4 linked regions of the Notamacropus eugenii genome follow. The protein of the gene in region 3 purifies or fractionates together with the protein of the main gene of each other region. This does not show direct contact. Links are inferred from orthologs where the notes say so. Each region holds a gene or a part of one and is shown on either strand. Other genes may lie near its edges.

What was found.
Region 1: the proteins of NCK1 (region 3) and WASL purify together in Homo sapiens (co-immunoprecipitation; 4 studies listed by BioGRID and IntAct, with this or other methods). This does not show direct contact. The link is inferred for Notamacropus eugenii from reciprocal best matches to the Homo sapiens genes NCK1 and WASL.
Region 2: the proteins of NCK1 (region 3) and ABI1 purify together in Homo sapiens (co-immunoprecipitation; 4 studies listed by BioGRID and IntAct, with this or other methods). This does not show direct contact. The link is inferred for Notamacropus eugenii from reciprocal best matches to the Homo sapiens genes NCK1 and ABI1.
Region 4: the proteins of NCK1 (region 3) and ARHGEF7 purify together in Homo sapiens (co-immunoprecipitation; 3 studies listed by BioGRID and IntAct, with this or other methods). This does not show direct contact. The link is inferred for Notamacropus eugenii from reciprocal best matches to the Homo sapiens genes NCK1 and ARHGEF7.

Annotation. Positions count from the first base shown.
Region 1 is NC_092874.1:127,332,749-127,339,739, forward strand, and holds the start of WASL (actin nucleation-promoting factor WASL), read left to right. Parts: upstream 1-3,974; 5' UTR 3,975-4,442; coding exon 4,443-4,562; intron 4,563-6,991. UniProt on the Homo sapiens protein: Regulates actin polymerization by stimulating the actin-nucleating activity of the Arp2/3 complex. Involved in various processes, such as mitosis and cytokinesis, via its role in the regulation of actin polymerization.
Region 2 is NC_092874.1:67,587,221-67,594,222, reverse strand, and holds the start of ABI1 (abl interactor 1), read left to right. Parts: upstream 1-3,998; 5' UTR 3,999-4,214; coding exon 4,215-4,331; intron 4,332-5,088; exon of another isoform or gene 5,089-7,002. UniProt on the Homo sapiens protein: May act in negative regulation of cell growth and transformation by interacting with nonreceptor tyrosine kinases ABL1 and/or ABL2. May play a role in regulation of EGF-induced Erk pathway activation. Involved in cytoskeletal reorganization and EGFR signaling.
Region 3 is NC_092876.1:330,764,335-330,772,161, forward strand, and holds the start of NCK1 (SH2/SH3 adapter protein NCK1), read right to left. Parts: upstream 3,012-7,827; 5' UTR 2,714-3,011; intron 1,983-2,713; exon of another isoform or gene 1,692-1,982; intron 1-1,691. UniProt on the Homo sapiens protein: Adapter protein which associates with tyrosine-phosphorylated growth factor receptors, such as KDR and PDGFRB, or their cellular substrates. Maintains low levels of EIF2S1 phosphorylation by promoting its dephosphorylation by PP1.
Region 4 is NC_092877.1:211,259,178-211,266,114, reverse strand, and holds the start of ARHGEF7 (rho guanine nucleotide exchange factor 7), read left to right. Parts: upstream 1-3,914; 5' UTR 3,915-3,986; coding exon 3,987-4,151; intron 4,152-4,375; exon of another isoform or gene 4,376-4,525; intron 4,526-6,937. UniProt on the Homo sapiens protein: Acts as a RAC1 guanine nucleotide exchange factor (GEF) and can induce membrane ruffling. Functions in cell migration, attachment and cell spreading. Promotes targeting of RAC1 to focal adhesions. May function as a positive regulator of apoptosis.

The sequences.
Region 1 (6,991 bases), on a different chromosome or scaffold from region 3:
AGTCTCCTAATCATCTTTTGTACTTCTCCAGTCTCCATGCAATCTCCCATGGCAGTGACCCAATAATCATCCTAAAGCACTGATTGTGCCTACTTTAAATCTTCAGGATTCCTACTGCTTAATGAATATAGAATAAATTTCTATTCCTGGCATTCAATGTTTTGGGCAAAATTTACCTTTTCAGTCTGATGTCATACGGTTACCCTTCACATGTTCTATGTTCTAGCTAACTAAGCCAAACTATTACCCAGAAGAACAGCTGTTGTAATCTGTTGGAGTGTGCTGGTAAGTTTTTAGCAGTAGTTCTAAAAAAAAAAAGTACAACATGCTTTTAAATTTAATTTGCATTATTAACGTTTTCTTAAATCTTGAACAATTAGTCAAGCCCTGATTTGTAGCATTTGCTACAAATGTAGCAAATGTAATGTAGATGTTGAGTTAATGCAATCATTAAGATAAAGGTTATAATAAGTTAAGTACCTACTTAAAGCTTAATCAAAACTTCTGGACAATTTTCATAGTTCTGGTACTAGACTGCAGGAATTGAAGGCCATGAATGCATTGACTCTTCCTGACCTAATTATCAAAGGTATCAATAAATAGCTGGGGGAATTCCTCAGGGGAGGACAGTGCAAGTTGGTTGGGAAAGAAACATCTTGAGATGAAGGATTTTGCTGCCAGTTTGACTAGGCCAGATGTAGATGTGACCCTGATTAACAAAAGATCTGAAATGTGTTGATTAGCTCAAGGCGTTAGTAGTTTCATAAGAGAAAGTTATATTACTTTCTTTGAGGAAGAAGCCTTAGAATTCCATGGCTGCAGAAGCTCAGAGAAACAGCACAGCAAAACAGGGGTGTGCAGGAGACAGTTGAAAAGGCTAATGAGAACCTGGTTGTGTATTTGGGGGGGATGCCTCAGAAATTGGCAAATGCTACAAATCAGGGCTTGATTAATTGTTCAAGATTTAAGAAAATGTTAATAATGCAAATTAAATTTAAAAGCATGTTGTACTTTTTTTTTTTTTTAGAACTACTGCTAAAAATTTACCAGCATACTCCAACAGATTATAACAGCAGTTCTTCTGGGTAGCTTTGGAAAGAGAGAGGATGCACAGCTTTTAAAGTATAGTGGAGTAGCAGTGACATATAGCCAGCATCAGGGAAATACAGATGCTTTCTGAGAGGTGGATCAGGTTTTGCTCAGGCCTACTTAGTGGTAACAGCTCAGGATTGGAATATTGGAATATAAGACACTTGTAGACTGTATAACATTTAACAAAAAGGAATTTACTTAATAGCATTGAAAGAGTTTTCAGGATCCTTACAACACTGATATATTTAGATGCAGCTTCCATGCCTCCCCATTTGCCACCATGATATATACCTGAGGGCTCTCCTTTACTGGGCTTTTTTACATAGGTTACTAGGAAACTATATCAAAGATTCAAGCATTAGTCTTCAAGACCATTAAATCTTGAAGATACTTTTTGCTCTTTAGAGGAAATCTAATAGCTTAGCCTACTTGGAGCAGATGAGGCTCCTACCACAGGGAGTTACCTGCTGTGATATAATTTCAAGATCAAAGATCATGAGATGTTCAGGGTAGAAGCGGCTCTACGGGATGGTGGCTAGAGGAAAGTGTGATCTCTTGCATCAATATGTCAATCTGCAGAAGACTCTCTTTTTGTATAAAAGGGGATGTTTCCTGCTTATTGACTTTGCTATTTTGTGCCAAATAAAGGTTTTGCTACTTGATGTATAGTTCCAGGTCTGTTGGTAGAGAATAAACTGATGGGGGGTTTAAACTGTATTTGTTTTACGATGAACAGCTAAAACACCTCATCCTGAAACTGGGCAATAGCTTATCTATACTACCCATAATTTCATGTGCCCATTCTCATCATTGGTGCAGAATAATAACAGCTAGCTTCTATGTAGAGCTTTAAGTATGCAAAGCACTTTACAAACATCATCTAATTTTATCCACACAGTAACACTATGAGGTAAGTGCTATTATTATTCCCATTTTTACAGATGAGGCAACTGGCAGAGATTTTGACTTGCCCATGATCACATAGGTAGTAAATTATCTGAATTCTTGGTCTTCCTGACTCTAGAGCTAGTGAGGTATCTGCTGTATTACCTAGCTGCCTCCAAACACCAGGTTCTTGGGGGAGAGTTTTAGGTGATAGAATTTTAAGGCAATGGAGATATAACAACCAATCAATCATTATTTATTAAGAATGTACTGATCCAGGTGCTGTACTTGATTATGGGGGTACATTAAGTACATATAAACATACAAAGATTTACAATGGATGAAAAAGGCAGCAGAGAACCAATCTCGGTATTTATATATGTAATAGATCTTTATTATATTCCAATACAACAATTTTATTTATTGAAACTTCTAATCTGTCTACCTTCCTCAAGTCTCTCCCAATGCCAATCAGCTAGTCTTCCTAAACCTTAGTACATCTGACCATGTCACATTCCCCTATTCAATAAACTCCATTGGCTCCCTATTTCCTCCAGGATCAAATATAAAATCTGTTTGGCTTTTAGAGCCCTAATTTGTCCCCTTCCTAATTTTCCAGTCTTCTTACACCTTACTCCCCTCATCATACTCTCAGATCTAGCGACACTGACTACCTTGCTAATTTTTCATACTTGGAAGACACTCCAGTTTCATGCATTTTACTGTGTCCTCCACAACTAAAAAAGTTCTTTCTCATATCCGACTTCCTTCAAGCCCAAGTTAAAGTCCCATCCTCTCAGAAGCCTTTCCTACTCTCCCTCATGCTACTCATGCTTTCTTTGTGATTTTCTCTCCTGTTTCTACAGTTTGTATGTAGTTGTTTGCACGTTGTCTCCCTCAACAGAATGTGAGTTTCTTGAGAGCAAGGATTAGTTGGGTTTTCTTTGTCCTTGGGTCGTTTATGTCTAGGGCAGTGCCTGGCACTTAGCAAAAATTTCATAAATGCTTATTGATTTGAACCAAATATAATTCAGGTGATATCAGCATTCAGCATTGCACAACAATAAAAGACATCGATTTTTAAAAAATTGTTGAGGTTTATTTCAAAGCATTCGGCAACTATTTCTACACTAATTCAACAAACATTTCTTAAGTGCCTACTATGTGCCGGGCACAGAAAAGTCACTGACGCCTGATGGTTGTTAAGGATGTTACAGGTAACATCCCCAAAGGAGTCTGCTTAAGGGAACTAAATAAAGAGAGCCTTCGGCCCCTCTCCCGGGTGGGAAGAGGGCGGCGAGTCCGCCTCCGAGAAGGAGTCCTTTCTGGGGCTCACGGCGAAGGTCCGTGCACAAGCGGGGAGTCCACCAGGTGCACGGCGTCACTGCCCCTCCGGGCGGGCCGAGGCAGCCAGGCCGGGCGCTTTCACGCAATTCCCCGGGGCCGAGAGCGGCCTGCCGCTAGACTCCTCCACTCCCTCGGAAGTTGGGACAAAACTAGAGAAGAGCTCGGACACCTGCACTTTCGGGTGACGCTGCCCGGGGCGGGGGCTGGGTGTGTAAGGGGCGAGGCGGGCGCGCGTTCCGTCGGCGAGCCCCCAAACAAGCCCCATTTCCCGGAGGCGAGGCCAAGGCCTGCTGGGAGGTTCGGGCACGGGGAGAGGTGAGGGGGTGCAGGAGGGAGATGGGATTCCCCGCATCCCTCCACCCACGCCTGGTCCTTTAGTCCCCGAGAAGCTGTAGCAGTTGAGGCTGGACCCTAACTGGAGACCGCGGCCTCCACAGGCCAACAGGTCGACCTCAAGAGGGAGGAGAGCCCGAGGGCACATCGTCACCTTGACGAGCAGCTGGCGGCCGGGCTGCTAGTTGTGCGCACCGGCCGCACTCCCACCTCGGGCGGAAGGGGAGGCGGGATCTGCAGGCGAGGAGGCGGAGCCTGTGGGGCGGGACTGGGCGGGCGGACTGGGACGAGGGGAGGGGGGGAGGAGGAGAAAGGTTGTTCTGGCTCTGGCGGCCGCAAGTTTCCGGCGCGCACCCCCGCCTCCCGTGTCCTGTGGTCTCGCCCGCCCCCGCTGCCATGTTGGATTCTGCGGCCCCCACCGCAGCCGCCGCCGCCGCCGCCGTCGCCGTCGCTGCTGCCTCGGAGGAGCCGGAGGAGTCCAGAGTTTAGCGCCGTCTCTAGTCGCGGAGGACGCGGACAGCAGAGCATCGGCAGCCGGCAACCTCTCTCCTCCACCAAGCCCGAAGCGAGGTCCCCCCAACCCCCGCCCGCGTCCGGCTCCTCCTCGTCCCCCCCTCCCCCAGAAGCCCTGAGATGCTGCGGCTCTGACTCCGCTTCTCCCCGCCCCTGTCACTGCAAGGGGGAGACCCACGCAGCCGCCCGGCCGCCCCGCGGCGGAGGAGGAGGACGCGGAAGACACGGCCCCAGCTCCGGCCCCGGCCCCGGCCCCGCCGGCCCCCGCCACCATGAGCAACAGCCAGCCGCAGCAGCAGCCGCCGCCGAGGAGGGTCACCAACGTGGGCTCGCTGCTCCTCACCCCGCAGGAGAACGAGGCGCTCTTCGGCTTCCTCGGCAAGAAATGTGTGGTCAGTTTCCCGACATTCGCCGCCCCCTCTGGAAAGAGTGGGAGAGGGGAGGGAGGGTCCGTCCCGGGAGCGCTGCCCACCTCCAGGGCCCAGCCAGGGAGGCTGGGGGGGCGGGGGCCCGAGGCGGTGTCACCTTCCCTGCTCCTTCTCCTTCAAACTTTATTCTCAGGCCACTGGGGGTGGGCGGGGAAGGGGTTCCTTTTGCCCGGGAGTCTCCCCATCCCCAGAAACGGGACTCCTTTCGGGCTCCCACTTAACCCCCTTGGGTAGCCTTCAGCATCCTCCAAAACGGGAAAGGCTGCGGACGCCGGCGCTTAGAAATGAATGAAGGGGGCCAGGAAGCGCCCCCAGCCCCCAGCCCCAGCTTGGTCGCTCTCCCCCGCCCCCTCCGGGCGCTGGGCTCCGTAGGAGAAACGCTCGGGTGCTTTGGGGCTGCAATGCCAGCTGTTCCCCGGCTCCTTCCGTTTCCAATCGAAAGGTCTGGTTCGAGCAGGAAATGCTGCGGCTCCTCCGACAGGGCTTGTTTCTGCTACATTCTCACCCGGGCCTGGTCCCTCCTTCCCTCCCTCCCTCCCTCCCTACCGGTGCTTGTCTTCCCCTGGAAGGCCGGGGAGGTGGAGGGGGGGCTGGGGAGGCGGGGAATGGATGCTGTTTGCCTCTCCGCCATGCGCAGTGGAAACTCGGTCTCTGATACTTCTGAGCCCCGAGGAAGCGGAGGGGGGTCGGGGGGACGGGACGGGAACGGCCGCGCTGAAGTCTTAGGCTGCGGTGGTGCTCGGCTCCGTCCAACCCCCGATGGCCGGTGCGGAGCGACGGGTTCTGCTGCGGGTTGTTGAGAAAGCGTTCCTTACATGGACTGCCGGCTCTTCTGGGGCTGGGGAGGATTTTGCCGGGTGGGGGTGTAGGCCTTGTCAGGCTTGGGCTGCATCTCCCAGTGGCTTGGGGCAGGGCTGTGGTTGAGTTAGCTGGAGGTCTGTCTTAGTTCCTCCTCTCCCTTACTTGTTACCACCTGCAGAGTTTTATGTGACCTGGGAGCAAGCAGTCAGTCACAGCGTAAGGGGGGAAAATTTAACCGAGAGATGTAATGCAACTACCTTCCTTAGTAACATTAAGCTATATCAGACCAGGCTACACCTGTTTGTACAAGAAGTCAGGATTAGAAAATTTCAGGAATGTTATCAGATTAATTGTTAACTCCCCAGGAGTCGACCCTTTGTATACCGTGCAAGAGTTGCAGTTTATAAGCTGGATCATTTGATTCAACTACAGACACTTACACTTCAGCTTTTAAAAAATTAAAGTTATTTCTAATGTTTGGCCGTGGTTCTGAGGCACAACATAGATTTTTAGCAAATGACATGATTTGGGTTTAAAGATTATACAGGTTAAGTGGTTGGCCGCAAGGATAGGTTAGGAAGAAGTTTGTGGCATACAATATTTAAGGGCTTTTTGTGACTTTTGCCTGCATCCTTATTTTCTGTTCTTGCAAGTGTAAAATGTTTAAATCTTGAAAATAATCACTCGAACAATAGAAATAACATGAACATTTTAAGGGAAAGCAGTAAACATTTTCATAGTGCTATGTGCCAGGTGCTTTTTACAAAATGACCCTGCTGTGTAGTTGTTAATATTATTATTCCCCACATTGCCGTTCAGAAAACCTCAGCAAACAACATGAATCGCATAGCTATAAGTGCGTATGTGAGACCTGATATGAATTAACATCTTCCTAAATCTAGACCCAGCCCTCTATTCTCCAGCTGCCTCCTAGAGCATTACTCTTATAAGGATCCTAGAATACGGTGTGGAGATACTTAGAATTTGAAAAAAATCATATCTATATAATGAGTTACTTTATAATTGTATATGAATACTACAATACCTTATAGTATTACACTTGCTACATTTTCTGAGTTGAAGGGGAAGTAATTTTCATATCAGACACATTTAGACAGGAAGGAAAATAGCAGTTGTATACAAGTGTACTAAGTAATTACTGTGAGATTGCCATTGCTGTTTACCGTTTGCCGCCTCTTCCAGTTTCAAAGAATGACTGGTTTGGAAGGACACAGAACAACTGTAATACAGAAAGGCTGTGTGTTTCAGTAGTTGAAGTAGTGAACTGGTAGATAAGCTGTTAAATTATTCTTTAGCCAGCCTTTTTGTCATGTCATTCAGTGTCAAACAAGACAAACTCCTTGCTTTTCACCTTTCCTTAACGACCCTACATTATTCATGTCTGTTTTGGATAGAATGCTGTTCAATTCAAGAAATATAAAACATTATGATAGGCACTGGGGATAAAGCGACAAAGGAAAGGAAAGTCTTTGCCTTCAAGGAGCTCACATTCTACTATGGGTAGGATGGAGTGTGATAAAGTATGAATATAGATGAGTAAAGTACGAAATAATTTGAAGAGCTAGAAAACT
Region 2 (7,002 bases), on a different chromosome or scaffold from region 3:
CAACATTATGGAATATTACAGGTACCATAAGAAATGATGAATATGACAAACCCTGGGAGACTTATTGAGGCAGAGTGAAGTCAGCAGTACCAGGAAAACAATGCACAGGATGACGACATAATTGTAAAGGACAGTACCCTCTGCTCCCCCTCCCCCTCCCTCTTCACCCAGAAATGGAATGCTGCATCAGTATAATGCCTATGCTTGGGAATGAAGAGATGTTATGCCAAGATATTATGCCTTCCTTCCTTCTTTGTAGTTTTGCCAAACTGCTTCCCCCCTTTTTTCCTCATCTTTGTTATGAGGGATGGTTATGAGGGATGGGGCAGCTAGCTGGCAAAGTGCATAAAGAGCTGGGCCTGGACTCAGAAAGATTCATCTTCCTGAGTTCAAGTTTGGTCTCAGACATTTACTGGTTGTGTGATACTGGGCAAGTAACTTAACCCTGTTTGCCTCCATTTTCTCATCTGTAGAATGAGCTCGAAAAGGAAATGACAAAGAACTATAGTATCTTTGCCAAGAAAATTCCAAATTGGGTCATGAAGAGTCAGAAACTACTAACTAGAAAGCTACTAACAAGGAAAGGTTTTTCAGTGGTGTAGGAAGGAGGGATATTTGAGAAATGATGGTGATATAAAAACCAAAGATATCAAAGCAAATTAAAAAAAAAAGACATTGTGAAGCATACATACGATTAGAAAAGGAAGTGTGCCAGTCACACAGCAAGTGCAAGGGATGACTTCACAAGGAGTCCCATTTCATTTTTAAGGCAGGTCATACTTAGACAGTTCTGATATCTGTCAGAAAATTAGACTTGTTAAAACAGCTCCTGTGTTCTACAGGTAGGCCCAAAAGATTAAAATTACTAGAAAAGGCATTCAGTACTTTGGGTAGATTCTGAATACATTCACTGAAAGACATGAACAATAATTGAGGGCCATCTCCAGTCATTCTGATCCAAATCTTACAACTGGACCCAGAGGAGAATGTGACTCAGGAGGAGAAAGGCTGGTGACTTTGCACAGTCCTTCCTCACTTAAATCTAATTTACCTGCAAGTCATGGCATCATCTTCCTGATGTCATGTTCATCTCCAAGAATGAAGGACAAACCTGAATAATAATCACATTGGACAAGAAGATGCGGATGACCTGGGATCTGTATCCATGGAGAAAATATCCACAGAAATGAGATAACAGAGCCTTTGAAGTACCTAAGGGGGTGTTCAGAGAAAAGAAGGGTGACAGTCCTGCTGTATTCTTCCGTAGTAAGGCCACATTTAGAGAACTGGATTCAATTATGCCTGGAGGAACATGACTAAGAGCTGAAAACCATGCCAGATAAGAAATAGTGGAAGGAACTGTGAATTTTTAGCTTGTTGAAGAGAATACATACATATACATGCATAAGGATATATGTATACAGAATACATTACAGGGCTATTAAATGGAAGGCAAAATCTGCAACAGTTATAAGGGTGGAACTAGGCCAGATGGTTGAAATTATAAGAGAAGCAGATTTTAGCACAATAGGAGTAAGAAGTTCCTAGCAATTAGAAACGGAATAGGGTTCCTTGTAAAGTAGTGAGCTCCCTCGCACTGTAAATAATAATAACGAATAATTATAGCTAACATTTATATGCTACTTTCTGTATGCCACATGCCCCACAAATGTTTAAGCAGAGGACTGATGGACTTTATCAAAAAGTGTTCAAGAGATATTGGAATATGATCCTCTGTCAGGAATGCCAAGAAAGGGACTCTTGAATTGAGTAAAAGGCTAGACTAGAGAACTGCTAACGTCTCTTCCAGTTCTAAAGATTCTATGATATTATGCTTTACTAATAACATGTATGTGCTATTGCAGAGTCTCAGGTGCTTACTGGCTAAGTGACCCTGGACTAGTCATTTAACTTCTGTCTGCCTCTGTTTCCTCATTTATAAGAGGGGGCTAATAAGAGCACCTACCTCTTGAGTTTATCGTGAGGACGAAATGAGATAAAAATGTTAAGTGCTCTTCATCCCTTTAAGTGCTATAACAAGGCTAGTTATTTATTATTATTGCCATATGTTTTAAAGATTCTGGCATATAGTTAGCTCAGTTTGTTAGAATATGGTTCTACAATTATGAGTTTTACAGCATATAAGCTTTTAAATTTGAAATATAGAAAAACTATGCTCCACAGCTTCAGGCTTTAAACTCCTCCCCCTTTCCCCCAGGAGGGACTATTAATAAAAAATTCATTCAAAGTGTATCTCTTAAAGTAGAATCAGTAAAGGCCTGATGATTATCTACCTTACTATTTTAGTTCTGATTCTGATTTGAAATCTTCTATTCTGTTGCAATATAAGTCATATTAAAAATTATTTTGTTGGCTGCTGATTTGGAGTTTGGAAAATAATGTCACCATAATTACAGATTGCATACTGTAGTACATCATATTTTTTACATATTGCAAGTGTAGGTAGCATTGAACAGTGGAAGGAGTGCATTAAGAATCTGAAAACTGGGTTCTATTTTTGTTTTTGCCTTTTAATGTGCTGACTTGGATAAATCACTTAGCTTCTAATTGACTGACTCATTTCTCCGAGTCTCAGTTTCTTCATTTCGAAAATAGGGATTATAAAGCCTGTTATGCATACTTTAGAGAGCTGCTATGCAGATTAAAAGAGATATAAGTGAAAATGGTAAAGCCCTGTAGACAAACGCAAAATTTTTCTTAATTGCTGTTGTAAAAAAAATTATGTTGTTGAAATTCAACATTATATTTAAATACTTTTTTTTTTTTGTTGCTATACAGTTCTATTCAGGCAACTCTCAGAAGATGTCAACTAGCACTGACAGAAGGAGTTTCTTCACAAGGGCTATACTAGTGAAATCGGGGCAGCTAGGTGGTGCAGTGGATAGAGCACCAGTGCAGGAGTCAGGAGGACCTGAGTTCAAATGGCACCTCAGACACTTGACACTTACTAGCCGTGTGACCTTGGGCAAGTCACTTAAGCTCTCTCTGCTGCCTCACCCAACAGGAATAATGCCCCTCAGGCTTGTCATAAGGATAAAAAAATGGTATTTTTTACCATTTACCAAAAATGGTATTTTTTGCCAGCTTTCAAGCTAGCTATCACTAATACCAGTTAAAAATGAGAAGATTTCTCTCAAACGCAGGGAGCAGTGCGACCCTTGCGACAAAGGGGAATGGAGAAGGCTCCCCCGGGAGAAGCCTGAATAGTTTAGGGTACCGCCCCCCCCACCCCGCGTGGAGCTCAGGAGGTGCAGGCCAATTAGCCACTTCCCCGATTCGAGCGACGTCGCGCGGGCACGGGTGGGTGCCTAACGGAGGCTTGTGGACTTGGCCATCCCCGGCATTCCGGGGGCCGGAATTAAACGGGAGTTCCGACTAGTCTCAGATGAGTTTGATGCCATTGCATTTGGGGCAGCCAGCACGTGGCCCGCGCCCCGATCCAGGACGGAGGAAGGGACCCGTGCCGGCTGAGGGAGGGAGGAGGGGGTGTGCATTTATGAAGCGCCCACTGCGTGCCAGGCACGGGGGGATGTCCGGAGGCAACGTGCGGAAGGGGAGGCGGGCGCGGCCGGTGTGGGAGGCCTGGGGGGCAGGGCGGGCCACCTTTCACCGAGGCCACAGGAAGGGCACGGTTAAGGTCAAGGCACACCCATCCCCGTCTCCCGGCTCGGATTTTTCCAGTAGCTGACAAACACCTGGTGGTTACTAGTAAGCCAGGCTCTCTCCCTCTCAGGTGCCACCTGCTGGCAGGCAGGAGGGCAGACCTCTCGGCTGGCTCGGCACATAATGCCACCATGCTACTTCCACACTTCCCTTCCCTCTCTCCCGCCGGTAGCTCGCGCGCTTGCGCAGTTGCCATCCCGGGAAAGTCCCCCGGGGTGGGGTGGTGGGGAGAGAAGACTACAACTCCCAGAGGGCAATGCAAAAGGGGAAAACCCAATCTCTCTGTTCAGAAGCTGCGGGGGTTGCGGGGGGAAGGGGAGCTGAAAGCTCGCGCATCGCGAGAACGAGACCGCAGCGGGTGGGGGTGAGGAGGAGGAAGAGGAGGAGGTGATGTCCCACAATACCAGGCGGGAGGGCGGGTAGGCGGCTTGTATCCGGGCTCAGAGGCTTGGACTCCCGGACTTCACCGCGCCGCTGCCGCCGCTCGCTGTCTCTTGGACGTGAGAGGAAGCGATGCGGAGGAGTGGAAAATGGCAGAGCTGCAGATGCTGCTAGAGGAAGAGATCCCGTCCGGCAAGAGGGCGCTGATCGAGAGTTACCAGAACCTGACCCGGGTGGCGGACTACTGTGAGAACAACTACATACAGGTGAGGCGGGGGGAGGGGAGGGTCAGGAGCGGCCCCCGCCCGGGGCCGGGCCCCCGCCCCGGGGAGAGGCACCGCCGCCCGCCCGCCGCCCCCGGCCGGGGCTCCGCCACAGGAAGTGGGCTGGGGTGGGAAGAGAAGGGGGAGAGCGAGAAAATGGGCGAGCGCCCGGAGGGGACCCGCTGCCGCCGCCTCGCCCTGCGCCCGCCCGCCGGCCGGGCTGCCCCGCTGACACCCCTGGCGCGCCCGGGCTCCCGCTGCGGCCGCTGGGGCCGCGGCGACCACCGCCACCCGCGCCCGATGAGCCTCGGCCGGAGGGAGCCGGCTACGGAGCGGGGAAACTGAGGCAGCGCGGCCAAGAGCCGGGCGGGGGGCGGGCGGGGAGCGTCTGTGTGTGTGTGATTGAGTATATATGTGTATGTGCTTGTATGTGTGTGTGTTATTGTGTGTTTGTGGTTGTGGGTATATATGTGTATGTGCTTGTGTGTGTGTGATTGTAAGTATATACGTGTGTGCTTGTAAGTGTGTGATTGTATGTATCTGAGTGATTTGGAGTGTTTGGGTGTATGATTGTGTGTATGTATATGTGAGCGCGACTCCATGTATGTGTGACCATGGGTGAGATTATGTATGTGCACTCATGTTTGTGTGACTGTTACGTGTGTGCTTGTAGGTATATGTGTGTTCTGGAGTGTGTGTGAGTGTGACTGTCGGGGAGAGAGGGTGGGGTAAGCGCGGGGGGAGGGAGGGGGGTGGATTATGTCAGCTAGCCCCAGAGGGTGTGCCTTGTATTCTATTTTATTTATTTGTCCTGAGTCACCTCGCTGGGGAGAAGGGCCCTTTGGGGGAGGGCTCTGGAGAGGAAGAAAGTGAATGGACCCCCTGACCCCCGGGCTTGGCCGCGGACTCGCGGGTTTCCAGACCGGTCCCCCCACCCCCCATCCACAGTTTCACTTCCGCTCTTGGGCTTTGGCTTCTCGTGCGGGAGGGTGATTAGAGCGATCGGGTAGAATTATTCGTCTTGAATTATTTTTAACTACTGGAGAGCTGCCTTGAGTGACCGCCCTTCTCCCTTATCCGTCAAAAATTTAAAAAAAGTTCTTAAAACTCCCGCATTTATCTATAACTTAGAACCTCTTCTTTCTGTTGGGTTCCCAGTTTTCTGACCACAGTTTTCTTTTACTTCTAATTGAGATAGATGGTTAGGATGATTAAAAATTGTTTCCAAGGCAGAAAACTACACACACATAAACATATTTGCATTCAAATGTATGTATGTGGAAATATACACAAATATATCTATCTACCCACATACCGATATTCCTACATATATTCATACGTATACCACACTTGCAGGGTGCCCCAAAAGTCAGAACTGTACTAAGACATTTGGTATAGCCTTTCTAATGATGTAAAAGTCGTGTAATATAAAATCATGAAACCTTGAGAATGTCTAGAGAATTTTTATTTCCTGAATTGAGTTTAGATGGAAATGCCTTTCTCACAACTCAGCTGTAAATGTTTAGGGTGTGGAAATAATGGACAAACTGTAATGGGCACTTAATATTGGATAGTCATGGCAGATAAGGGCTTTTGAAAGTTCTGGTTACTTCAATAATAAGGAGGCATAGAGACAATTTTTGGAAATAGCTCTTTTTTTGTAGCTATCTTGCCAATGCTTGCATTTCCTCCACTTTATTTCTCCTTAAAAGTAAAGAAAATGAATGGTTGCTTTTGTGAATATTTAGAATCTTTCTTAATTTTCATGTTCACTTCAACTACCTGCTAAGCATTGTGCTAATACCATAACTGTAGAAAAAAATGATTGACTCTTATTCTTATCCACTGATAATATAGATTTTTAAAAAAGTTAGTTTTGCAGACCAAGAAATAATTTTGTAGTTCACCAAAATGAAAGGCACATACTGAACTGAAGTTCCAAAGTCAAGCTTTGAAAATTCAGGTGAAAATTGGAAGGATCTTACAAGTCAAAACGTAAAATACCTTATCGGAATCTTCTAAAAGCCTACTTTCAACGGCTGTTGATAGATCCTTCAAAACAGGGAGGTTCCATTTGATTTTATATGTTGGGAAATACAACAGGTACTTGGTGTGGTAACATGTTTTAACCTGTCCAATTTTTTTCTTTGTCAGTGTAGTTGTTTTTTGTTTTTCTATTGCAAAACTTGGAAGCGGTTTAAACTCTACCAGGAATCTCTTCTATTAACATAAATTGCCTCATGTTACTTACTCTCCCTAGTAAAACCAGAATGCTAAGAATCCTGTTAGTGACTCTCAAAACTTTTTTCATTTTATCAGTTGAATACACAGACACACACACACACACACACACACACACACACACACACATTTTACCCTCAAACTAAAAAAGATAGGAAAATATTTTTGAAATAATGACAGGTACATATAACAATGATTGTCAGAATATATAGTCCTTTACCTTTCAAGCTTTGCTTGTGCCAGGTGCCTTGCCCTCCAAAGTAGGTAGAAAGTGAATGTGGTATTGGTGGAAGGTATCACCACTGCTGTTCTTGTCATTGCTATGGCTGCTTGAGATTCTTATTCATGTTCTTTCATGCATTTATCCTAAAGGTTGGAGAAGACTTTTTTTAAGCCTTTTTTATGACATTTCTGTGACCCATGGTACTTTCTG
Region 3 (7,827 bases):
CCTGGCACAAAATAGGTACTTTATAAATGTTTGTTGTTTGACACTAAATTCAACAGAAAATTAATAAATTAAATAAAACTACTTGAGATTTTTTTCATATATGTTTCTATTCCTATCTTCTGCAAGGCCTTCTAGTTTTAGGATCATAAATCATAAATGGAGAGCTGGAAAGGGCTGTAGTTTTTTGGACAATGAAGTCTAAAAAATCAAAATAAATTCCCATAAGATAAGCAGATAGTAAGTGGTAGCTTCTGAATCGAATCCAGCTCCTCTTGTTTTCAATCCAGTGCACTGTTTCCACTGCAACATGCTGTTTTCGACTTTAGGCACCTATCATCTAGAGTTACCTAATATCAAGGTAGGGCTAAAAGTACAAAACCCCATCACTTTTAAATTATTCTTTTGAAAATGCTACTGTTTCTTTCAGGACTGCTTTGGTAGAGTTCTTAGTCTACCTAAGAACTAAATCATTTTTCCCAGTTCCTCTGAACTTTAGTCTACAACCCAGTTCTTGTTGCTAAGCTTAACTTTTATGTAAAGACACACACAAATCGCAATAGGTGCACCAAGAGCACCTATCAAATGACATTCCCAGTCTACGCTACCAATTAAAGCACATGCCTCCACCAATGAAGCTTTGTGGCACCATTTCAAAGACATACGCCTTCCACTAGTGATGGAAGTGATGGCTCGGGATCCCCCAACACAAGTGAACAAACAACAAAAAAGACTCGGGGAGAAGGAAAAGCCCGTTCTGAAGGTTCACAAGTCTCCATGAGGTGCCCAACTCCCTTCTACCGTAACAAACTTATGGGAGCTCCCCTATCATCCCTACCCTCACCTTTTCCCTTCTTTCTCAGGGTACTAAGCTATACTTCTGACTTTTAAACAGACGTACAACAGAACTTATCAAAATCTTCCCTCATCACACCTCCTTTCTTAAATCCTCAACAGCTGCCTTCAGAGCCTCGTGTTTCACTTACGTGCCAAGATGAAAAGTGTTAATCTGGGGTCTGTGACTCTAGCTGTCTCAAGAATGTGTTTCTAACTGTATTTAATATAACTCCGGTCTCCTCTGCAAATCCTGTGTTTTTCATGCATTTAAAAGGATTGTTCCGAGATGAGGTCCCAGCATGCTGATCCCAAAGGGGCTTACAAAAAGGGGAAGGACCCCTCACCTAGACATTGTCTTCGCTGTAGGAAAAGAAGCGGGGGCTCTCTGCTTTTTGGGGGGTCGGGGGGTGCTACGTTTTGTTTTTTCACTCTTTGCATCTCAGGCTCTTACCGCAGAACCCAGCCCTAAGTAACTGCTTGCTGACTGACTGACTGACTGACTGACTGACTTGCCTCCAGCCCCCGATGCTCCCAGACGGGCGGCGGCTGGGCACCACCGGCCGCCTGGACTGAGAGCGACCGATCCTGAGGGAGGGAGGGACAGACGAATGGATGAACAGTCGGACGGGGCGGGGGAGGCTGGCCAGGAGGAGCGTGCGGGGAGGGAGGGCCCGCAAGGAGACCACAGAGGGCGGGGGGAGGGGGAGGGAGGATGAGGCGAGGACGGGAGGGGGCGGGGAACGGCCGTCCGCCGTCCGGCCGGGAGACTGGCTGGGCCCCCAGCCCTGCCCTCCCCCCACCCGGGGCCAACCTCAGGGCAGCCGGGCTACCTGCCCGCGAGCCGGCCCCGCACTTACCCCGCAGGGCCGCCGCGGTCGCCGCTCAGCCGAGGAGCAGGAGGGAACGACGAGGAAGCCGCTGCCACCGCCGCGGCGGGGATGGGGGAAGGGGGAACGGCCGTTACCGGGCAGGAGGCCTCGGCGCCGCCGCGTAGCTCGGGCCCGAGAGGGAGGGGGAGGGGCACCTCGGAGAGAGGGAGGGAAGGAGGGAGGGAAGAAGAGCGCGCACGGGCGCGCGCACGGTGCCCACCGGCCCCCGCCTGCGGCAGCCTCGCTCCGATCCGTTGGGTCGGCTCCTCCTACTTCTCCCTAGCTCGGTACCCCGCCCCCCAGGAAACTCCCTCCTGGCCGCCGGTGATTGGCTCAAAGACGCTGACTCGAGGAGCGCTCCGAGAGCGGGAGGGGATTGGGCGTAGCTGTCCGTCAATCAAAGTCGCCGGGCACGCGCGCGCTGGGAGGGAACCCACCGGGTGGCTGGTGGCTGGGGCTTGGAGGGCCAGATGTCACTCGCTTGCCTTGTACCTTGCCTCGCGGTTGTCGGGGTGACCTTAAGAGCGCAAACCGAGCCAGGGCAGCAAGCCGCTTCTTCGTGGTGCCCTCGTTGGGTCTGCCCGTTCCTTTGGGCACCTAGCCGCCTCCTCCCCGGTAGTGGCACCGCTGACCTTGGCGGCTTCTATGGCAACTTCCCTTCCGGCTCGTGTCCGGGCTGGGCGGCCGCCGCAGCGCCGTCCGCGAGGCCCAGAGGCTGCAGCACCCTGGTTCTGGGACCTGGGAGGGTCCGGAAGGTCCAGTTGTTTGGTGGAAAGTATAGATCGCGGGGATGGAAATGGGAACCCATCTTCAATTGGGCCGGAGCAGGCGGGCACCCTCCTCCCCCCGATCTCGTGGGCCAGACCAGCCACAAAGACGCGAACCCAAACCATGAGGCTGCGGTCCGGGGAGCTTTACTTCTCATTACCTCCGATCTAAACAGCCACTTCCTTTCTGGCTTACAAAAGAAAAAAAGAGTCGGGGGGGGAAGACAAAGCCATGACACTCACCTGACAAGTTAAAAAGCCGTCGGTGACTTGGGCATTGTCTCCTCTCGGTGTCTCACCTGGCACCTGTTGGGGGGGTTTCCACATCGTCTCCCACAGTCCTGGCTCGCATCCACTTCTTCAAATTCAGTGGATACCACTGCCTGGGAGACAGTACCGCACTAAAGGCACATGTTGAAGGGATTTAGCCAGAAGGGCCTTAGAAATCATCTTCGCCAGCCCTTTTCATTTTCTAAGTGAAGAAACTAAAACCTAGGAGGTTAAATAAGGCACCCAGGTATCTGATCCTGAGTCAAGTTGATGAGCATTTACTAGAGGTCAACTGTGTGTGCTAGGCACTGTGCGAAGGGCTGACAGTCATCTGACTTCCTCTCTGTCTGATAATTGCCAAGATTTAAACCTACATCCCTTGGAATCTTGTAGTTCCTCCACCCCACATCAGCCCTCACAGAAGCAACTAGGAAAGAGATTAATCCTGCTAAAGTCTGGTTTCAATTTATCTCTAAGCTTGTTCTTTCTTGATTTTCTTTATTTTGCCCCCATCTCTTTTTCGGCACCCACACTGGAATGAGACCAGAAGGGCAAAGAAAAAGGGGGAGGGAGGGGAGAGATGGCAAAGCAAAGGGGAAAGCAAAAAAAGGAGATAAGGAGTTATGTAATGAATACCTTCACTGGAAATGTGTAATACTTGAAAGTATTACAACTATTCTGGGGTAAAGACCTCTCTAGAGTATTCCCTTCCTCACCGATGAAGCTTAATTATCTTTTGTTGGTACTTTTCCCTTCTCATATTCTTCTTAAGCGTGTTCTGTATTCACAATATATCAGAATCTTCTTCCCTAGTCAAGAATAGTGCCATTTGGGTTAGGAAGTAAGGGCTGTCTAGAGAGTCAGAGTGGTTGGAATCCCAGCTAAAGAGAAGCTTTGTAGAGTTGTAGGCAATGGATCATAAATCTAGACCTCAGAAGGTGCCTCAGAGGGCCAGCGAGTCTAATATCCCCATTTTACAGATCAGAAAACTGAGGACCAGGGAGGGTAAGTTATTTGACCAAAATCACGTAGACAGTCCAAAAGCATTTATTAAGCATTTACTATGCCAGGTACTGTGCTAAGTCCTGGGGATATATAGAAAGAAAAAAAAATGCCCTCAATGAGTATATATTCTAATGAGAAAGACAACATGTAAATAACTAGGTACATGAAAGATATAGAAAGAGATGAAGATGAGCTGAAAAGGGAAAACATCAGTGGCTGGGGAGTTGGGGGAGAAGGTCAGGAAAGTCCCTCACAAGGTAAAATTTGAGCTCAGTCTTTAAGGAAGTCAGAACTACACTTTAGAAAAATTACCCTAGCAGATGAGTGAAACTAAAATGGGGAGGTACTTGAGACAAGGAGACCAACCAGAAAGCTATTGTAACCCAGGTGTAAAGTGATATGATCCTACATCAGGATGAAAATTCTGTGAGAAGAAAGAAGATAACATGTACTGTAAGTGTAGAAGCAACAAGATTGGCAGTGTATTTGGATTTGAGGAATGAATGAGATCAATGTGTTGAGAATGGCCAAAAGGCTATAGGATAGATGGGATGAGGTCCATTGCTATCCATAAGCGGCAGGAGTTAGGAAGGTACAAAACGATTCCTCCTGATTTCTCCCTGCCTTGAATTACATAGTACATTTGACCTTTTTATTCAGAGGTGGGGCCACTGATGACAGTTGCTAGTAGCCAATTAGGACTAAATAAAGGAGTCTCAATATACACCAAAATATTTATTGCATCACTGTTTACAAAGAACTGGAAGCAAAGTCATCGAATGCGAAATGACTAACAAATCATAGAAGATAAGTATAATGGAATCTTACTATTTCATAAGAAATAGGAATATGATGACTACAAAGAAGCAAGGAAAGCTGTTATACAGAGTAAAGTAAGCATAGCCAAGAAAACAATATACACAGTAACTACAACAATGTAGATGAAAAGAAAAACCACCACAAAATAACTGAAAATGAGTGTTGTGAAATTACAAAGAACAAGCATGGTCCCAAAGAAAGAGACATAAAACATTTCCTTCAATTCCTTTGATGAAATAGAAAGTCCACAGGTGTAGAACCTAGCATATATTTTCAGACCTTTTCAATGTATTATTCAGTTTTGCTAATTGCTTCTTTTATATCTTTTGTTGTATGGGATGGCTCTCTAGGAGAGGCTAGGGAAGGATGCTAGAAGAAATTTAGGAGATATAAAAACAAAGATATATTAAAAAGAGAGATGTGGGTAAGCGGAAGTAACTGAAGGAACTAAGTGTTCTAGGAAAACAATGAGGATGGGTGAATTTTGTGGAACTAAGGCCCTCCCTTACCTGATGTTCTTAAAACCCTATGATGAAGTAGAGAGTAGCCTAGCAATAATAAATTTAAATCCTATGTTTTGTAATATTACATTTTAATGGATTTTGTACCAATTAATTTCAGTTGTAAATTTTTAACATTTGAAAACACTATAATATTTATTTTATGTGGTATAATACAACAGGTATATATATATATATATATATATATATATATATATATATATACATATCTATAGCCATTTTAAAAAAAAAGATGCCCCTCCTACCTAGTGTCCTTTTCCTCCTCTTCTTTTGACTGTCATATTTCTCCAAAAGTTGTCTGCTGTTTCTATTTCTTCCGTCATCTATTCATTCCAAAACCCATCAAGGTAATGAAAAGAATACTGGACTTAAATTTAGGCAACACACTTTCAAAGTCTAGTTCTAACATGTTACATGATTGTGAATTCAACCTCTCAGAGCCTCAGTTTCCCCATCCATATAGTAGGGATAATAATTCAATTATTAACCCTCACAGAATTGTCTTGAAGAAAGTTCTATCCAGGTGTAATTATTACCTTCTGCCCTCAACATTCTGCTCTAACTAATCTCTCAAAGGTCATCAATGATCTCCTAAATGTTATATCTAATGACCTTTGATCAGGCCTCAAACCCAGTTTAAGCTTCAACAGTCAGCAAAACTCTCCTCCTACTATCCTATTTTTCTTCTTTCTGCAAGGTTGGAATAGGCTCCCTGCTCTCCTCTGCATTATAGAACTTAGCCATGCTCATTGTTTCAGTTATAACTTCTATGTAAATGGCTCCCCAAAAGAGGTTTCTAGGCCTGACCTCTCCTCTAAACTACATGAGTTTCTCGCCATCACCTCAAGTTCAAGACTGCTTTGCTCATGGTAGGCATATGCTTAATAAATGTTTGTTGAATTGAACTGAAAATGAATTTATCATTTTTCCCCAAAAATTCCATTCCAAATCTTCCCTACTCTTATCAATAATACCATCATTTTTTCTCTCATGAAGACTTGGAACCTCTCTCTTGTCACATATATCCAACTAAGCACTTAAGTCCTGTGATTTTTTCCTGCCTAATGTCTCAAAAAAAAAAATAACTCATTCATATAAGTTTATATAAGATTTACAGAGCACTTTTCCTACAATAATCCTATGAAGTAGGTAGTATACTTAATATTATCCCAGTTCTACAGATCAAGCTATGACACATAAAGTTTAAGTGATTTGTCCAAAGTTACATAGCTCGTCATAAGTGACAAGGAATTGGAATCCATGGATCTCTAGGTCTTAAGTTCAGTTCTTTCCTGTCTTTTTCATACTTTATCATAGAAGCATAAGGTCATAGATTTAGAGATGATAGGGAGGACCTTAGAGGTCCTCTCATTTTTACGGTTGAGAATACTGAGACCTAGAGGAGTCAAATAACTTTCTTGAGGTCACACAAACACTAAGTTGCAGAGCTAGAATTGGAACTCAGTTCTTCTGACTCTAAATTGTCCCACTTCTGAATTATATTAATAGTCATCCTAGCTAATTTATAATCACAGAATTATAGAACTGGATAGTAAGCTATGAAATAATGTATTATGATCTCTTCACTTCACAGATGAAGAAGCTAAAGTTCAGAGAGCCTATAATGGTCAAATGTCCCAACTAGTTAACCTTAAATCAAGGACCAGAACTCAGCTTGTCTGACTCCATCCCAAGTTTCTTCCATCATATGAAGTTATTGCTTTAATGAATATGTTTTGTTTCCCAAAGAAGACTATTGACCCCTTAAACACAGAGCCACACTTCTCTTATTCTTGCTTGTAGACTTCATAATACCTAGCATGGCTCAATAAATAAATAAATATTGTCAAATTGATATCTATTTGATCAGCATTTGTTGAGTGATTAAATAAATGGACTCTTTAAAAGTTCATAAATTAAATTTTTTGAACATACAATTTAACTTGAGTAGTAAAGACATCTATTCAGAAGAAATCTGTGGTGGATCCCTCTGTTGGTGTTGCTCAGTCATTTCAGTTGAGTCCAACTCTTCGTGAACCCCACTTGGGGTTTTCTTAGCAATGATACTAGAGTGATTTGCCATTTCTTTTTCCAGCTCATTTTATAGATGAGGAACTGAGGCAAACAGAGTTAAGTGACTTACCCAGAATCACACAACTAATAAATGTCTAAGGTTGAATTCCAACTCAGGAAGCTGAATCTTCCCCACTCTAGGCTCTACACTCTATGCACTGTATCACCTTTCTGCCTAGTGATTCCCTTTATAGAGTGAACAATCCTTTTGTAAACTTCAGATATTTTACACATTCAGATTTTAGTATTAGAAGAATGATACTTAAAGCAAGACCTCTGCATTCCTTTCCCTACTGGCTCAGACTCCAAAGGGTGAGAAAATCAATAAGCATGTATTAGTTAAAAGTGTCTTTAATATACCTCATTCAGAAGAATGTTGAGTTTGTTGTTTTATATTTTTATTTATTTAAAGGTCCAAGGAAGGAATGAGTTTTCAAAATTAGGGGGAGAGGGGGGGCACAGATATCATCTATCTTAACCCCTTCATTTTACAGATACAGAAGCTGAGTCCCAGAGAGATTGTAACATATCAAAGAAGTAACCAGTTGGCATAAGTACCCAACTCTCTTGACTCCCAGTTCATTGAGTTTTCTATGACCTCATTCTGCCTCTGTGAACTCAATTGTCAACTGAAAGTTGAAATGAGCAGAATTTGAATATCTGAAATAA
Region 4 (6,937 bases), on a different chromosome or scaffold from region 3:
GTATTAGTATTGTTACTATCCAAAATATACTTTCCCATAACCAGTTAAAATTCTGGTTCTTAGAGCTGAATCTTGCCTGTCCTATTTTAAATTAGACTTATTTGGTCTTCTTGTTTGATCTTACTCAGATATAGGAAGCAAATTTTCAGTGTTCTCTACATTAGAAACACCTTCCAAATACCTGAAGGATTCGAAAGGATTTTCCTTCCCTTGACAACTTTAATTCTTTCAACCTTTTTATTTAAAATCTTAATTTTATTCCATTGATTATTTTGCTGTTTTTCTTTTGACACTCTTTTATATATCTTTTGAAGTGTTGTTACCTCAACTGGTTACAATATTGATTAATTCATAGTTCACCGGATAGATTTTTTTTCCTGCTCCTTGCACAGTCACTTTGTTATATCCTAGCGCTAGGTGGACATTTTCCTGCTACCCAATCTTCCCCCAACTTGGTTGACAGGCAACATAGCCTAGTGAATGGCATAGTGGACTTGCAGCCAAAAAAGGTCTGGGTTTGAATCTTACCTTTGATAATTGTAAGTCATAAATTTAGAGTTAGAATGTACCTTAAAGATCATCATAGCAGCTGCATGACTGTAGGCAATTTAATGAACCTCCATACCTCTCTAGGACTTATCTATGAAGCCTAAAATATCTACTATCTACTAAGTCATAGTTGATGATATTTTATTTTTGTCTTAATGAAAGCTCCATTACTTATTCTATTTGAAATACATCATAATTTAAAAGTCCAAATAATAACCATTTTATCAAGACATTTTAAATTTTATTCCTGTCCTTCTGAGTATTAGCAGCTCTGCTTGATCAATTCTTAGGAACTTCAAAAGATTTTTGATTTAATGGATATTCCCACCATCTCTTGCCTTAGTAGATATGTCAAGATTTGCCCTTGGCACTACCCCTCACCTGCCCTCCATCACTTGGTGGTTAACTTTCTGGCAATGAGGCTCTTTGATCTTAACCTAGGCTGGTCCTTGGATGACAGTCCCATGCTCACAGCTTTTCCCACTTTATGGTAACTTAAGCATCTAGAACCCTCCCCAGGCCCCAAGGAACAACATTATCTGCAAATGTATTGATATTATTCTAAATTCCTTCTGTGGATCATCTTAATAGTAGTAAATACAAGGGAGGAGGGAAAGATTTTTCTGGAAATCTTAGCTTAGGTTAATAATACTGATAATTAGCATTTGGTTAAAACTCTTGGACCAGATATTTACCTCCCTTTTCTTGGTCATCATATAAGGAAAGCAGCATAATTTATGTTTATTTAGCATAATCATGAGGATAAGAAGTGGACCTTAATGCTAGTGCCTTCTCTCTGTTGGTTATCTGCAACTTATTCTGTATCCATCATTTGTACATGGCTGTTTGCATGCTTTCTCCCCCATTCCCACAAGACTGTAAGTTTCTTGAGAGCAGGGACTACATTTTGCCTTTCTTCGTATTCCCATCATTTAGAGCCTGGAATACAGCAGATGCTTAAAAAATACTAGGTGACTGATTGATTTCATTAGAATAGGGAATTTCCAGATGAAGAAATTCCGTCTACCAATTCAGGTTGTGACTGTCTCTGTGGCTTGTCGTCTGAGAACTGTTTACAGTACTGAAAGGTTAAATGATTTGCCCAAGGTTGAATAACCTAGATGGACCAAAGGTAGGACTTCTTGAACTCAGGCCTTTCTGGTTTGGGGGCCAATTCTGCATTCACTATGACATACTGCCTCTCTGTATAATTATAGGGACATAAAAACAGATTCGATGCCTTGATATGAAAACAATATGGTATTTATTGCCATTTTTGTCCAAAAAATCAAGCTGCTTCTGGCATTATTTTGAGTATTTACATACAAATGTGAATGAATATTAAAATAATGAAGAGGAAATAGAGGCAGTAAAGTTGAACCAGAAAACATAGGAAGAATGGTATTAATTGCCTACAACAGTGGAGTACTGAATGAAAGCAGAAGTTGAGGTAGGGGAGAGCATTGTAAAGTTCTTTTGGATATTTAAAAATCTTATATAGCTTTCCAGTCCTTTCCATAAACTATCATTATGGAAAGTCACAAAAAAAGCAAACAAGGAAAACATTGGCAGACTGTAGACATAATGAGTGGAAATAAATGTAGCAAAGGAAAGCCAATGCTTTAGCCAGCATATTCTATTTCAATAAAAGACTTGATTTCTCCTGTGAACCGTATGGAGATGAAAGAAATGTGTAAATATCATTAGCCATTTCTTTCTTTTTCTTAAATAAGTCTTTTTTTTTTTCATTTACACAGCATGTTTTGAAGCTAAGGCTAGGAAAGAAAGAAAAATGATACCAGTTCCTAACTGACCATCCCCACCATGCTCCCACATGCTAACCATGGGCTGTATGCCCCATGTCTACTCTTAAAGTTCTTTGTAGAAAAAAATTGACTGGATCTAACTGTGACATTCCTCCCAAACCAACTTAAGAAATCAATCAAACCCAATATTGATTAAATACAAAATAAGTCTTCCTTATGTCTCTGTGTAATACCATTTCTGATTTTTCCCCTAGATTTTTGGATCGAATATCTCCATTTAAAATGGAATAACTACCAAGTTTCTACTAGATATTCTGTCCTCACCCAAACCTCTAGAAGGGGCCACTAATTGCCAGCAAGCCACATTAACCAACCCTCCACTAGGGGACACACAAGACTCAAGCTGTACTGAGTTAGATTGCAGTTCACGTTCACAGGGACACACAGCATTATTGAAAACCCACTCCTGCCCAATTTAGACCCATGGACATGGCAAAAAAAAGTATATTACGTGATTGTTGATTTGTAACAGTGAGGAGAATGCCACGTATTTGGGGCCCCCTTCCTCACCACTCACATTTAAAAAAAAAATAAAATTGTCATAAATAAAAGGAGGAGGGAGCATTATGGGAAACTTTGGGTGGTTGGTTTTTTTTTTTTTAACAACACATTATAAAAATCGAAAAACCGTAAGTCTTTTTAAGCAAAGGAGTGAGGCATAAGGACAGAGAATGAAAGGAGTAAAGGAAGATTCTTCCAGATGGTGTCTCCTTAAAATTGCCCAGGCAGAAGCGCAAATGGTTAACATATTGTATAAAGGAAAGTGCACATGGGCACCTCGCACTTGTACAGTTCGAGGATAAAAGGCTGCCACCCGCGACTGAAAATGAACTAGTTTCTCTAGAGGTCAAAGGGACTTCTTTCAGACGGTGCTTCCTTGGCTGAGATGGTACAGACACACTATACCCAAAAAAAGACTTTACATGATATACACCTGACCAACTAAAGATATTTAGCGTCTAGATCTGTGAATTCCTCTATCCCACGACCACATTCTACACTGGCACTTGGTCCAGGACGTCAGCTGCTGGATAAACCTTTGCAGACTGGCTCTGGAGACACGTCTTTGTATCTGTGGGTCGTGCTGGAACGCCAGCACGCCTCGGATACCCCAGCCTCGCCCCCCGGGCGCCTCTGCTAGGGCCCGTGCTCATGGCTAGAACACGCTAAGACGATGACAGGATGTGGAGCTGGTGGCAAACGGCGTCTTTTCTTCTCCTCCTGTCAGTGATGTCATTGGGCGACAGCAGCTGAAGGAAGGCTCGGAGGAGGAGGAGGAGGCGCCCGGCTGTGGCTGCTGCTGATGCAGGTTCATGTGCATATAATGAAAAGGCACTTGACAGTCTGCCAAAACGCACGAGAGGGAGAGAGGGAGAAACTGGACCTGCTGGATTTCGCAAAGCCAATCGTCATCATCTGCATCTACATGGGGAAGGAGGAGGAGGAGGAGGAGGGATCAGCAGCTCCAGCCGCCGCTGCTCCAATGTGAAACCACAAGCCAAAAGGGGGGGATCCAAAAAAAAGAGAGGCGGCGGGGGGGCGGGGGGAGAGAGGCGGCTCCGTGGGCAATTCTCTCCCTTTTCCCTGCGGATTCCTCTTCCTCCGGCAGCTATGAATTCCGCCGAACAGACCGTTACGTGGCTGATTACCTTGGGGGTGCTGGAGTCGCCCAAAAAAACCATTTCGGACCCGGAGGGCTTTTTGCAGTCGTCTCTGAAAGATGGGGTGGTCCTCTGCAGGCTGCTGGACCGCCTGCTCCCTGGGACCATAGAGAAAGTAAGTGCAATATCTCCTCTCCACGCCTTCCACCGCGCTCCCCCCACCGCACCCCACCCCACCGCACCCCACCCTGCCTACCCCCACCCCCTGCTCTCCTCCACAGAACTGATCGTGCCAGCCCTGGCCGGATGGTGTGTTTCACCGGAGGGCACACACACATCTACACACCCCATTTTCTCTCCACCCCCCGCCCCTTCCTCTCCCTTCCAAGGCTCGACCACCTCTGCCGAAGCCGGGAAACGCCTTTGAATGTGCTCGGGCACAATGACCTAACCTCGGGGCTGCTGGGGCGTGCGGGGAAGCGGCCAGAGGGGCCGCGCTGCCCCGGGGCGCTCTGCCTGCCTCCCGGCCAGCCCGCCCGGTCTGGGGACTTCGCCCTACGCACTTTCCTTTGTGCGCTGATCTCCCTCGGAGAGCCGGGTCAGCGCGGAAAGCGGCGTGCGGCTTCTGCGGGGTGAGCAGCGCTCCCCCAGACCCGGGGAGCGGGAGCTCCAAAGGCGCCATTGTGTGGGGGACGTGGGGAGGGGGCGGGGGGGGCCGGGCCCGGAGCGAGCCGAGGGGCTTCCGAGGCGGCGGCGGGGGCACCCGGAGCCCGAGGAGGCGCGGCGGCGTCCAGACCTAGCCATGCGTCCGTCCTCTGTCCTCTGCCACCGCCGCCCACCGCTCCGGCTTTGGGAGGGAACCAGAGTCCCCCCGCGCAGACTGGCCATGACTTCTGCTTCTCAGACGTTATAAAAAGTCGAGGGGGCTCCAGTTCCGTGACCCCACCGGAAAAACCCGTTTGGATGCGGCACCGTCTCCCGAAGTGCCACTCTCGGGACCAAACCTTCGGTCACGCTCAACAGTTCAACTTTTCTCTTTTTGGGGGGAGGGGGAAGAAGAAGGAGGGGGTCTAAACGCACTGGTTACTTTGTAATTCTCCCCCGCGTGCACGCAACAAAAGCTGGTTAATTACTTCGATGTAGCAAGAATTCCTCCTGTAGTCTGAAGGATCTTGGGATCCCTTCAGTTAAAACCCCTAAACGTGTGAGTATTGGTTTAAGATGCTTGAATTTTATTCCCAGATTTAGACCTTGGATCCGAGCAGAACTGATCTAGCCCTAGAGACCCTGTTACTCATAATGTCTGCAGCCAATAAGCTGCACACTCACTCATTCAGAGGAACATATGTGCGAACTTTGACCTGCTTATCTTTGAGAGCCTAAAGTTTATCTTCATGCTGGACAGGAAGATGAGAAAAGGGAGGATCCGGTGCAAAGGACTGCACAAAGGATGCTCCCTCTTTTAAATGTCAAATTCTACTTCCAATTTTTTTCTTCTGTGAAACAGCATTAAAACTAGTGAATAATGATTATAAAAAGGTTGAATATCTAAATTTGAACACTTCAGAATTAGAATGATGTCTGGAAAAGAATGAATTATATATTTTTAATATTTGTATACTATATATTAGCCATTCCAAATAATGAAGTAGCACTTTAATCATAATACAACACAAGTCGTTTATAGTCAAATATTATAGAAAGATACATTGTTACAGAACTCACCAATAAGTTTGAATATGTCCTTTTTCTTTCATTTTAAAAGACAAATCTTCTTTATTGATAGCAGATTATGAGAATCAGAAAATATTTATGGGGCACTTACAATATAGAAAAGCGCTCACTATTACAAGTACTTGGGGGATCCAAAGATGAACCATATCACATGCTTTCATATTTTTCTTGCTAGGGAACAACTTCGTAAAAAATGACCCCTCTTTTTTTTTTTTTAAATGAGTTCATCCTATTCTGCCTGACCTTGAAATAAAAATGTTTTGCTTGTAAATGATCCTAATGTCATAATAGAATTGTGATTTAAGATAGGAAAAAAGGAGTAGGAACTAACTTTTCAGAAACCCCAAAGACTTTGTTATCATTTAGATATCAGTATCTCTGGTAATAAAAACCAGATGAGAAGTACTGAAACTAAATGATAAATTAGCAGAATTATGGACAGAAAATATTTGTTATAGGTTCTAAAAGCAATACTTTAAGGAACTTAATCTTTTGTGTTGATAGCAAACACAGTTTTCTAGAAATGTATACTATTATATATAGGCCTCTAGAGTTATTTTAACTAGTAAATTTTGGTAATCAGTGGTTTCGAGTTAATATTTCTCTTTAGATTATGGAAAGGTATTCTTTAAAAACTTCAGAGATCACCTCATCTATTGAAAAAAAGTAGAGGGTTATAAGTTAGGCTTATAGAAGTCTCAAATAAAAAGTATCAAAATGAATGCTAATATTGAGACCCAGCCCTCTAAAGTCATTGAACAATCACTTTAATTGAGTATTATTTTCTCATTTTCAGAGATTATAGTGTAAGATCATCCTGTCATCATATATGATGAAATTATAAACTAAGAAATATCCATGGTTCAAAAAAGACTTTCTAGGGGTAGAACCTCAGTTTTGAAAAGTTCTCCTAATCAAGAGGGATGTCAGAGGAATTATAAATCTACTTCTTTTCTTATACAAAGTTATTCATTTAAAAAATATTGCTGTACATATCAAATAGCATATGCTGTAGTGCATACAATTCTGATTCGCTTGAAAGTAGACTATGAGATGGAATAATTTTTCCTTTAAAATGAAAAAAATCTGAATTTCACTGCATCTCAAATGTTGAGATGATAGACAAGGGGGAGGGGCATGCAGTCTGTGCTTGTTTTCTTTAAAATTTAAAGGATCTGAATCCTTGCCACTATACCCTGCTTCACCAAAATAATTTTAACAACAAAT